Linked DNA regions of Mus musculus. The protein of the gene in region 3 binds, or shares a complex with, the protein of the main gene of each other region. Links are inferred from orthologs where the notes say so. Each region holds a gene or a part of one and is shown on either strand. Other genes may lie near its edges. The genes, in order: Tpt1, Bad and Bcl2l1. A codon is read from its position in the direction of its gene.

The links.
Region 1: the proteins of Bcl2l1 (region 3) and Tpt1 are in contact, whole or in part, in a crystal structure (PDB 4Z9V), measured with the Homo sapiens proteins. The link is inferred for Mus musculus from reciprocal best matches to the Homo sapiens genes BCL2L1 and TPT1. Residues at the interface, in NP_001304848.1 of Homo sapiens: Ala93, Glu96, Phe97, Arg100, Tyr101, Ala104, Phe105, Leu108, Gln111, Ser122, Gln125, Val126, Glu129, Leu130, Asp133, Asn136, Gly138, Arg139, Val141, Ala142, Phe146, Leu194, Tyr195, Ala199, Ala200, Ser203; in NP_003286.1 of Homo sapiens: Phe14, Asp16, Ile17, Lys19, Ile20, Arg21, Ile23, Ala24, Asp25, Gly26, Leu27, Cys28, Leu29.
Region 2: the proteins of Bcl2l1 (region 3) and Bad are in contact, whole or in part, in a crystal structure (PDB 2BZW), measured with the Mus musculus proteins. Residues at the interface, in NP_001276645.1 of Mus musculus: Ala93, Glu96, Phe97, Arg100, Tyr101, Arg103, Ala104, Phe105, Leu108, Gln111, Leu112, Gln121, Ser122, Gln125, Val126, Glu129, Leu130, Arg132, Asp133, Asn136, Trp137, Gly138, Arg139, Val141, Ala142, Phe146, Asp193 (codon at 671), Leu194 (codon at 674), Tyr195 (codon at 677), Gly196 (codon at 680); in NP_031548.1 of Mus musculus: Ala137, Leu141, Ala143, Ala144, Gln145, Tyr147, Gly148, Arg149, Leu151, Arg152, Met154, Ser155, Asp156, Glu157, Phe158, Glu159, Phe162, Lys163.

What each region holds. Positions count from the first base shown.
Region 1 is NC_000080.6:75,843,883-75,848,128, forward strand, and holds the start of Tpt1 (translationally-controlled tumor protein), read left to right. Parts: upstream 1-1,373; 5' UTR 1,374-1,546; coding exon 1,547-1,574; intron 1,575-1,734; coding exon 1,735-1,808; intron 1,809-2,320; coding exon 2,321-2,511; intron 2,512-2,811; coding exon 2,812-2,917; intron 2,918-3,361; coding exon 3,362-3,478; intron 3,479-4,040; exon of another isoform or gene 4,041-4,152; intron 4,153-4,216; coding exon 4,217-4,219; 3' UTR 4,220-4,246. UniProt on the Homo sapiens protein: Involved in calcium binding and microtubule stabilization. Acts as a negative regulator of TSC22D1-mediated apoptosis, via interaction with and destabilization of TSC22D1 protein.
Region 2 is NC_000085.6:6,948,774-6,952,413, reverse strand, and holds the end of Bad (bcl2-associated agonist of cell death), read right to left. Parts: intron 1,775-3,640; coding exon 1,584-1,774; intron 1,016-1,583; coding exon 890-1,015; 3' UTR 509-889; downstream 1-508. UniProt on the Homo sapiens protein: Promotes cell death. Successfully competes for the binding to Bcl-X(L), Bcl-2 and Bcl-W, thereby affecting the level of heterodimerization of these proteins with BAX. Can reverse the death repressor activity of Bcl-X(L), but not that of Bcl-2.
Region 3 is NC_000068.7:152,780,164-152,782,940, reverse strand, and holds the end of Bcl2l1 (bcl-2-like protein 1), read left to right. Parts: intron 1-658; coding exon 659-796; 3' UTR 797-2,277; downstream 2,278-2,777. UniProt on the Homo sapiens protein: Potent inhibitor of cell death. Inhibits activation of caspases. Appears to regulate cell death by blocking the voltage-dependent anion channel (VDAC) by binding to it and preventing the release of the caspase activator, CYC1, from the mitochondrial membrane.

The DNA.
Region 1 (4,246 bases), on a different chromosome or scaffold from region 3:
TCCCAGCACTTGGGAGGCAGAGGCAGGCGGATTTCTGAGTTCAAGGCCAGTCTGGTCTATAAAGTGAGTTCCAGGACAGCCAGGACTATACAGAGAAACCCTGTCTCGAAAAAACAAAAACAAAAAAAAATTTTTAATGATGTTAAAAAAATACATTTGGGCATAAAACTGGAGAAAATAACAGAAAAATCCAAAAAGAATATGTTTGGGGATCTATGTAAATGAGCATTTTTGAATAATTTGAAAATGAATACCTGGGATGTGCAAATAAGATTCACATAACTCAGAAATAACTGAGTTTTGAGACTGCTAAGTCATAGCCCCTCGGTTCTATGTCTACGTTTTCTGATGTCCTTCACTTTTTTACTGTTACCCCGTGTCCTTTAGAGTATCTAGGAAAGCAGCAGACCACCGCATCTTAAGTGGACGGTTTTTCTTCTGCTCTTTGGCTAGAGTTTTATTCCTGAATGGTTTACTCTGTGCTTGTAACACTTTGTTAGTGTGAACTGCCTTCTCCTTTGACATACTAACCTAACCTTCTGTCCGAGGGCAGGCAGGGCTGGCTATGTCCTTCTTAAGCGAGAAAATTGCAACACTAGGGTTACAACGGACTATAACCAAATCTGGAAGGGAAGAAACTGTGATTTCATCCTGCCATACATGTTTACCTGAACGGTGGGTCTCGGAAGTTGTATGTTGTACTTCGTGGTGGATGCGAAAGCCCTTCAAGTGACCCGGGCAAGTGGGAAGCTCCTTATTTTGGGTCTGTTTAGTCCTGCATCGCCAGGAATAAAAGGGATAAAAGTGACAATACAGAACTGTCCTAACAAAGGACACCGTTTGCGACCAAGAGCAGAACAGGCCAGCGAAGAGCTGTCCGGCCAGACCCACCGCAGGCTTTCACTTTCGGAACCCACTAGAGGACCAGTCCCCAGGACATCTCCCTCCGCGAGCAAAACCGGTGCAGTCTGTGGGCAGCCAAGGACCGGAGGTCGGAGACCCGGGACACCAGCCCGGCGCCATCCCCGTAGTCCCCGCAGGCTCAGCGGCGCGCCCGACAACAGTCATCCGATTCTGCTGACATTTTCTTTCCGAGAAAGGGGTGGGAACTGAAGCGGCGTGGCGGGAGGCGGGGCGCAGTCACACCCTGGCCACGCCCGGGCGGCGACTCAAGCGTCCGGCCATCGGTCGGCCGCAAGTCCCTTCCCGTCCCAGCATGCCCCGGGCGCACTATCCGCACACCGCCCCCGTTGCCCCGCGCACCCAGGGGCACTCCGCATTGTGTCCCAGCAGAGTCCCCGGATGCCCTCCCGGGGCCGGCCGGGCGTAGCCACGCCCCCGCACCGCCCTGCGTTCACGTCACCGCTGACGACAGTTCCGGGGGAGCCGCGGACGGTGACGTAGCCGAGCGTGCCCTCTATATGAGGTTGGGGAGCGCCCGCGTCGGCCTTTTCCGCCCGCTCCCCCCTCCCCCCGCGCGCCGCTCCGGCTGCACCGCGCTCGCTTCCGCGCTGTCAGGCTAGCGCCGCCGTCCCCAGCCGTCACCATGATCATCTACCGGGACCTCATCAGCCGTAAGTCCCGGCGCCCGCGGGCCTGGGTGCGGGTGGGCACCGGGGAGGCCGGGGACACGAGCGCAGAGCTTGGGCCGGGAGCCGCCGCGTGCGCCGAGCCCGGCGCGGGAAATGGCGGGCCTTCGCTCGCTCACGGGCGGCTCTCTCTGTTCGCTTTCAGATGACGAGCTGTTCTCCGACATCTACAAGATCCGGGAGATCGCGGACGGGCTGTGCCTGGAGGTGGAGGGCAAGGTGAGCGGGGCGCCGCGCGCGGGGAGGCTGGCCGCCTGCCTGCCGGGTCGGCCGAGCCGGGCCGGGCTGGGCTGGGCGCCGCGGGGAGGCCGCTGGAACTCGTGCAATCCTCGCTGCCGCCTCCAGGCGGAGGAGACGCTCTTGCGGACCTTGGGTTTTTCTAGAAAAGTGGAGGCGGAGCCGAGCCTGGAAATAGGTCCGCGAACTCAGCGCCATCCTCTTTCCGGGCGAACGGGGACATATTGTCTATAAGACAGGTTTGCGCTGTGCGCGCTTAACCCGTGGCGACTCGAGAGAGGCCACAGCAACTTGGTTCCGCTTGATGAGAGTGACCACCTCTCTCAGTCCGGGCAGCGACTATTTGGGGGGAGGTTAAGATGTTTCAGGGAGCTGACTGATCGTTGCCGGACCTTTTTTTTTTTTTCTCTTTTTTTCTTTTTTTTTTTTTTTTTTTGCCCCTTCGACTAAGTTGTATTGTCTTTTTGTTTTGTTTTGTTTTCTTCTAAATGTAGATGGTCAGTAGAACAGAGGGTGCCATCGATGACTCGCTCATCGGTGGAAATGCTTCCGCTGAAGGTCCGGAGGGCGAAGGTACCGAAAGCACAGTAGTCACCGGTGTTGACATTGTCATGAACCATCACTTACAAGAAACCAGCTTCACAAAAGAGGCTTACAAAAAGTACATCAAAGACTACATGAAATCGTAAGTGACATAAACACCCCGTTTTGGTGGTCAGCTTCCTAGAAGAAGTTGGTTGCTTAGGTAGGAAGGGCTTAAGAAAGGAGGGTCTTTTGTTATACAGTGAAGGTTGATTTTCAATAATGTGAGCAAGCCGGTAGAAAGTTACTTTAAAGGTAATATAGGAATTACATTCTTTTAAATGGTTTCTTGTCACCTAGTAAACTATCATTTTGCTAGAAGACATTACCTATTGGAGCTTATATTCTTACTTTACTGAAAGATTATTCAGTATTTTGATGACCTGTTACTTTACTGTTTTAGACTCAAAGGCAAACTTGAAGAGCAGAAACCAGAAAGAGTAAAGCCTTTTATGACTGGAGCTGCAGAGCAGATTAAGCACATCCTTGCTAATTTCAATAACTACCAGGTAAATGGACCAAAGGGTTGTATAATAACTGTGGGATCCGAAAAAGTCTGTTTGCTGTCTCGTACATGGCTCTGGCTGTCCTGGAACACCCTTAGACCCAGTTACCTCAGCCTTCTGAGATGAAAGTCTCAGCCCATTTTGTGTAGCACCACACCAGGCAAGGAGCTGGTATTAAAATGATAGGCATTGCTTTCTTTTCATTGAGACTGTTATCTGTAGACCAGACTAGCCTTGAACCCAGAGGTCTACCTGCCAGTGCCTCTTAATTGCTGGGATTAAAGGTGTGTGCCAACATGGCTAGCATATGTGTTATTTTTGAGAACTAGGGGTTTTTCTTGCCAAATTTTGGCCAGGGGTTATTCTGGATCTGCTTTTTATAGTTTGATTTTATATTTGTGTGTATAAGATAGTCTAATTGTAGGTTTTTGTTACGTGTTTCTTAAGTTTTTTATTGGTGAAAACATGAATCCAGATGGTATGGTTGCTCTCCTGGACTACCGTGAAGATGGTGTGACTCCATTCATGATTTTCTTTAAGGATGGCTTAGAGATGGAGAAATGTGTAAGTATCTTTAAATTAGTAGTGTCAAGACAGGGAGTGCAGCAGTGATTCTTTGCCATCTGCAGGTGGCAGGCCTTGTAGATTGTGAGATCTTTATCCTGTGGGAGAGTAGAGCCTTGAACATGAAAGGGGCTTGAAGATGAGATTAGCTGGCTTGCTAGAGTGCTCAGGGTCATGTGTGTAAGTAGTTTGACACTGGCCTGGGATAAACTCACGTAGAATGAGTGTGGTCTCTGCCCCACGGTAGTTCAAGTCCATTTCATATTACATGCAATAGGATGTTTCAGTGTTTACTGAGGTCAGTAAGAAGGAATACAGAAATGTCTGTTTTATAAGGGACTGGTGGAGACAGTGTTCCTTGTCCTAGATTTTGGAGGCTTTTTTTGTAAGCACAGTAGAAGGTGAGTTTAGAGATGTACTGGAGAAAGTGGGTGACCGCCTGGGACAGTGGGGTAGGAGTGTTATTCAGACAACAGCTGGTGTTTGTCAGTAGAGCACTGGAGTGGGCAGGAAGATGGGTGAGTGCTGCCAACTCGGTGAGGGTCTGCATCCACTGATAGACCTCGAACAGTTTGTGGTTGTTCTTCTGGTTTGCACTAGGATGCAAAAGGAAACTCTCCCTGCGCTTCCTGCCTGCCTTTGTGGCAGTTCAGATTGAATTAGGGAGTACATCTACATGCTAGGACAGTTATAAGCTCAGGCTGGGGCAGTTGTTAATGCCATCTCTTTGTTTTGCAGTAACAAATTGGATCTATCACCTGTCACCAT
Region 2 (3,640 bases), on a different chromosome or scaffold from region 3:
AGCGCAAAGCACTAGCCTGGGCTATGGGGCGCCAATAAATCTCTGAACGGAGCTCTGGGCCCTGCTCCAGGTCCCTGTGAGAAGCTTCTACGTTCCCTAGCGATCAGTCTGCCGCCCCGCGCCGCCCCGCCCCACGTGTCTTGCCAGGTCCCTGAGCTGCGCTGGCCCCAGGCCGGTCAAACAGTAGCTGCTCACAAGGACTGACCCAAATAGGAGCAAATGACCCCCCTCCCGCCTGCCCCCCGGGAGCCGCGACATGGTTTGCAGAACGCTAAATTCCGGCGGCCGGTTGGACTGCGGCTCCCAATTACCATATTAGAGATAAGGGGCTGGCAGTCCCAAGGGTCTAGCCACGCTCCTCTTCCCCACCCAAGCCAAGCAGCCCGACTCCGCGGGTTGCCTCTTCTTCCTCTCAGTCCTTAGAGCTTGTTTCTTCCTCCGGTAAAACGAGTCTCTCTTAAAACTATCAGGGATAGAGATCCGGATTGCGGAACCCCAAACGAAGGATAGAGGCGCGGCGGCACATGCGCAGGCTTTATTATAAAGCACGTTTCTCGCGACCTCGGGTCCCCAGTTATGACAGGACAGCACCCAGACCCCCAACTTAGCACAGGCACCCGAGGGCAGTCCAGAACAGGAGAGGGAAAACAGCCACTTCCGGAGGCTTAGGGGGTGGGGTGCGTGGAAAACTTTGAAACTCCAAACAGGAGCCACCCCTCCGTGGCTATTGCACGCACCGGAAGGGACTCAAGCTGTACGTCAGCTCTTCTCCCTGTTAAAGGGACACAGCGATCCTCTTTTTTTTTCCTAAGGCCTCGAAAGACTTCCGCCCACACCCAATATGGCGGGCGACGGGAGCGGGTAGAGTTCCGGGATGTGGAGCAGAAGATCACTGGGAGGGGGTGGAGCCTCCTTTGCCCAAGTTTCGATCCCACCAGGACTGGATAATGCGCGTCCAGCCGGCGCTTTGTCGCATCTGTGTTGCAGTGCCTGCGCTCTTTGGGCGAGGAAGTCCCTTCAGGGAAGGAGGAGGAAAGAGTGAGCCTCATTCTGGCATCCCGAATCAGGTCCCCACCACCAGCTTGCTCTGCACTGGGCGGTCAGAGACACGGGATGATGCGTGTGCCGGGATCCTAAATGAAACTGCACAGCCAGAGATCTAGTGTTTAGAGGATGGGGAAGAACTCAACAATTTAAAGTAGCTTAAGAAGTTGGGGAGAGGCTCAGATGCCAGCAAGCCTCGTACTCTATGAACCTGGCGGTTCAGAAACTTTGGTGTGAAGTTGGTCTGTACTACAGATTTCGGTTCTCATAGCGGTCCGGCTGTAAGAGCTCTCGATTACAGGTGAAGGCATAAACCGGGACTGGGGACGGGGTCTTGGACAAAGGAGGAAGAGGGAGGAAATCCCAGCAAATCACTGGACACTGAGAGAGGACGGATTAGAACTGCAAGTCCCAGCATGCTCTACAACACAAAAGGGAAAATTGGTGGCTCTGAAACTAGAAATCCCGACATGCCCTAGATCAAAGGAGGGGTAGCAGCTGAGGGTTCAGGTCCCATCGCACCTAACGCTGGCGCTCACCTTGAAGGAACCCTCAAACTCATCGCTCATCCTTCGGAGCTCACGGCCGTAGCGCTGCGCTGCCCAGAGATTGGGGGGAGCCGAACGCGAGCGTCCTCGAAAAGGGCTAAGCTCCTCCTCCATCCCTTCATCCTCCTCGGTCCCCGCTGGGTACGAACTGTGGCGACTCCGAGTCTCCATAGCCCCTGCGCCTGCAGAGGTCAGGGAGTGGAAGAGGTGTGACTCTCTGGCCTGTTATCTGTTCCACAGCCTTAGTCCCTCCTTTGTGAATGCAGAGAACTCGGAGGGCTTTTGTGAGAAATCGGTTAACTTCCACAAATCCTAGTACAGTGCATGTAATGAAGTCTTTAGTGTACAAAAAGTTTACAGTGTCTTTCATAAAATACGGACATAAGCTATAACTATCACATGGTCTCATAGCAACCCTTACATAGAGAGGTGTCTTGCTGTGTCTTTGCAGGGGTCTTGGAAAACAATGGTCTGCGTCCCCTATTGTGCCTTCCTTGTGAGACAGTGTCAAGAACTGTCATCACTCATCCGTTTTATTTTTCTGAGACTGGAGTATGTACGTGCTAAAGTATCCTCCCCACCACCTGGTTCAACAGACACAGCATGGTGGCTTGAGCTGGGTGTGGTGGTTTATATTTATAATCCCAGAACTGGTGAGGTCCAAACCAGAGGTTTAAGGTCAGCCTAGACTACAGGAGAACTTGTCTTTTGCCTCACAAAAAAAAGTGTGGGGTGGGATGGGGGACACTGACCTACGAAGACACATGCACACAATAGCTACACAGGTGGTCAGAGAGGTCACATTTCCTCAGGTTAACATGGTTGTTAAAGGCCTGAGGCCCGAAGTCCCTGGGTTTGGAACCCAGAGCCTATCAGGCTGTGCAGCTCTTGCCTTGCCCAGCCACCCTTCACTTTTACTGAGGTTCTCTTCATGAAGGGACAGTCTCACCTCGCCTACATACTAACGCACCCCACCTGTGTGAAGGTCGCATCGGTGTGTAGACATGTCCTGTGAGCAGCAAGAGCATTGTGGGTGATCTCCTCTGGTCTGGGTATTATGTGCCATCCTGACGTCTGCCATCTGTACCCCTCTGTCCAGACCAGTGAAGACCCAGAACCACTCCTAGGGGCAGAGTCCAGAGCTAAGCACAGCCTGCTGCCCACACCCAGGTATCTGCAGGCTTGGGAGGAGGTAAAATCACCCACATGTTCAGGGGTTGATAAATTTGCTTCCCTCTCTCAAAGGTCAGCTGTCAAGACTCTGCAGCTCAGCTGTAGGATCCCAGCTGCAGACACGGGACAAAAAGCAGAGATAAGGGGGGGGACCCTTATGAAAGACGTGGCCAGGTCTGCTCCAAGCATCTGGCCAGGACCCAATATCATTGCTCACCTACAGAGTGCTTTCACTAGACTCAGTAGCTGGGTGGGCTCCCTTTTGTGATCTTGGACCCATTTCCCCAGTTCCTTGTCACCTCAGTCTTTGTCTGTGGCACAGGGACAGCCTGTCTCATAGTCACCACTCCACCCTGTCCTTTGAGCATCCATTGGTTTCTTGGCTCCTGTGTGGCAGATGTGGAGTTCTCCCATCTTACATAGAAGTCTGACACCGAAAGGAACATGCCTGCCTTGTGCTGGTGCAGCCCATCAGCACCGAGTAATGAACCTGAGCCCTGGAATCAAGGCGTTTGTGTGCTGAACTGGTGGTGGCAAGGCGAATGTCTTCCAGGTGGCCTTGGTTTGAGCTCAGCCTCCCCTCCTTCATGAAGAAGCAAAACAAGGGCTGGTGAGATTGCTCAGCCAGTGGAGGAGCACTCAGTACAGCCAGATGAGCTGAGTGGGGCCGTGGAATCCATGGAAAGGGAAAAAGAGCCCCCACTAGCACCCGGACACGTGGCACCCGCACCCCTTCCTGAACAAATCTGCTTTCAGAAGCTACGTTAAAATCCTTGTTTAGCACCAGGCATTGTAGCACTCAGCTTTAATCCAAGCACTCTGGAGGCAGAGGTCTTTGGATCTCTTGAGTTCAAGGCCAGCCTGGTCCAAAGTGA
Region 3 (2,777 bases):
GCTGCCTGAGAAAGAGGCTTGCTGGCCTCAAGGCTATCGTGTCCACGTGCTGGCTGTCCCACTGAGTCATGTACTCTTCTGATGACTAAGCTTCGTGGCAGAGAGCATTCCTCCTTGGTTCAAGACTGACAGCCCTGGGGTGGGGACAGGAATGGCCTCTCTATGTCCACGTTAAATGTTCTGCTATGTTTCCCCCACCTACTAGCCAGCTCTGGCTGAGGCCCTCTTTACAGGGGGGAAGAATCTCCTGTCTGAACATCCCAAAACCACTAACTGAGTGCCCCAGTGAAACTGCTCTGAGAACCTCACCTCCCTGTAGTCTAGTAATGGACACCTGACAGTCGTCTTGGTGTCCACTCAGCCTCTAGTGCTATGTGATGACATCCTGTGTGCCACCTCCTGCATGCCCCTGTCTCCTAGTAGTCCCTGCTGGTGTTCGCTCCAAGCTGTCTGTTGCTTTTTAAGGCATAACACACTCTGCACCTGTGTTCTCAGCAGTAAGCCGGGTTGGTCTTCCCCAGCTGGGCTTCAGAAGGTCAGCCTTTAACCTTTTCTCTAACCATGGTGGGCACTAGTGCTGTGACATAGAGATGCCCCATTCTGCCCATTTTGCTCAAAGATTCACACAGTATCTATCTTTCCTTCTCTGTCCCTATAGGACACTTTTGTGGATCTCTACGGGAACAATGCAGCAGCCGAGAGCCGGAAAGGCCAGGAGCGCTTCAACCGCTGGTTCCTGACGGGCATGACTGTGGCTGGTGTGGTTCTGCTGGGCTCACTCTTCAGTCGGAAGTGACCAGACACTGACCGTCCACTCACCTCTCACCTCCCACCCTGCCCCCACCACAACTCTCTCTTCAGCCACCATTGCTACCAGGAGAACCACTACATGCAACTCACGCCCCTTGCCCTATCACAGGGTTGGGCCTAGACGGAGTCCCCTGCAATTAGCTTTCTAGGATCTACCACACTTCTGTGAAAGCCACCTTCCCCCCACATCTCAGTTCTCTTGGCCTCAAAACTCACAAGGTTTTCCCCTAAACCAGCTCCTTGGAGGCTGGCAGGAGCAGAGAGGGGTGTGTGAGGGAGGAGAGCCTGTCTTGTTGGTGGGACCCTAATTACCCCTGAGCCTCTCGGGAATGCTTTTCCAGCAGGGAGCTCTTCCCCTGAAGGAGACTAGCTTGCCTTGGTTTTGATGTGTGTGGCCTCAGACGTGATCATTTCCCATCCCGCTGTGTCTCTGGGTCTCCCTCCTCCCCATCTCCACCCCCCAAGAGCCATTGAGTGAGGTGCTTTTAGCCCTTTTGACTAATTAGAAATTCAGGCTGCTTGGGATAATGAGACAAGGACCAGAACCTCCTCCCCACCTGTGGCCTGGCCAAAACCCCCACTTGTGGTCTGAATGTTCTCCTGAGGCCTCTGGCTAGAGTCTAGCCCCACCCAGGGGGAGGGGCTTAGCTGCTGAAAGTCCACCTTGCTAGAGCTAGGGTGGCTCTTGCAGCTTAGCACCCCCCAAGATCCTTGTCCACCCCTCCCCTGGCTCCCATGACCATGACTGAGGGACCAATGGGCCCAAGATAGGTGCCCCAGAGCTGTTAATGACTTCAGCTGCCTCACTTCCTGCAAGATTGGCCTGTGGCATCTTTGCCTTGGGTGTTGGCCACAGGGTCAAGGGACTCTGGCCTCAGCCCAGAAGTGAGGGGAAGCTATACAGAGCAGCTGTGGGAACCCCAGGGGCTTCCCTACCTCAGGCAGGAAGGGCAGGAAGAAGAGCCTGGAGCCCAGGCGAGGGGGACGGCAAGGGCCTGTCTTTGTGCTCTGCCCCACCTAGCCTGGGCAGCAGGGCTGCCAAGGTCAGAATGGCCTGGCTAGGAGCCCTTCAGGCCTCTCTCTCCTCTGTCCACCCTTGGCCTGTCTCATCCCTGTGGGTCCCAGCTCAGCTCTGGCCACCCCGGGCTCTCTGCTGTACATATTCGAGACTAGTTTTTATTCCTTGTGAAGATGATATACTATTTTTGTTAAGCGTGTCTGTATTTATGTGTGAGGAGCTGCTGGCTTGCTGTGCGCGTGCCCGTGGAGAGCTGGTGCCCAGAGACTGACAGCCTGATGCTCCCTCCCTGCCCTTGCCTGGGGAAGCCCACCAGGGGTTCTGGCTTCTGAGGGGCACCTGTCCCTCCTCTCCCCTCACCCTACACTTGTTCCAGCTCTTTGAAATAGTTTGTGTGAAGGTGAAAGTGCAGTTCAGTAATAAATGGTGTCTGTGACTCTGTGAACCACAGCCTTGGCTCTGCGCCGCATGAGTAAGGGGGAAACTGCTGGGCTCTGGCTCTGCTGCCTGGGATGGGGTGGCTCACCAAGTTCCTTCAGCCCCAGACTTCTTTCTGGTCTCCACATTTCTGTACACTACTGGGAGAAGTGGTGTTAATTGAACATGCTAAGAGCTGACATTCTGGTGAGCCCAACAGTCACAGTTGTTGGACAAGAGTTTCCTGAGTCCTGTTGTAGCATAGGTCTACCATTTTAAGACTAGCGGAGAAGATAGGTGTAGTCTGTGGTGCTGGTTGGCTTAGGGCTTTCATGAGAAATCCAGTATCTTCTGGCAAGACGTGATGACAGACTTGAGGGTAAACTGACCAAATCTGAGGTAACGTTATTAAGATAGGTCTCAAGAGTTTCACATGAATTAGAGATGGTTCTAGAGAAAAGATGACGCTTAGGGCTGGAGCAGTGGCTCAGAGGTTGAATGTTTGCTGCACAGACCTGAGGACCAGAATTTA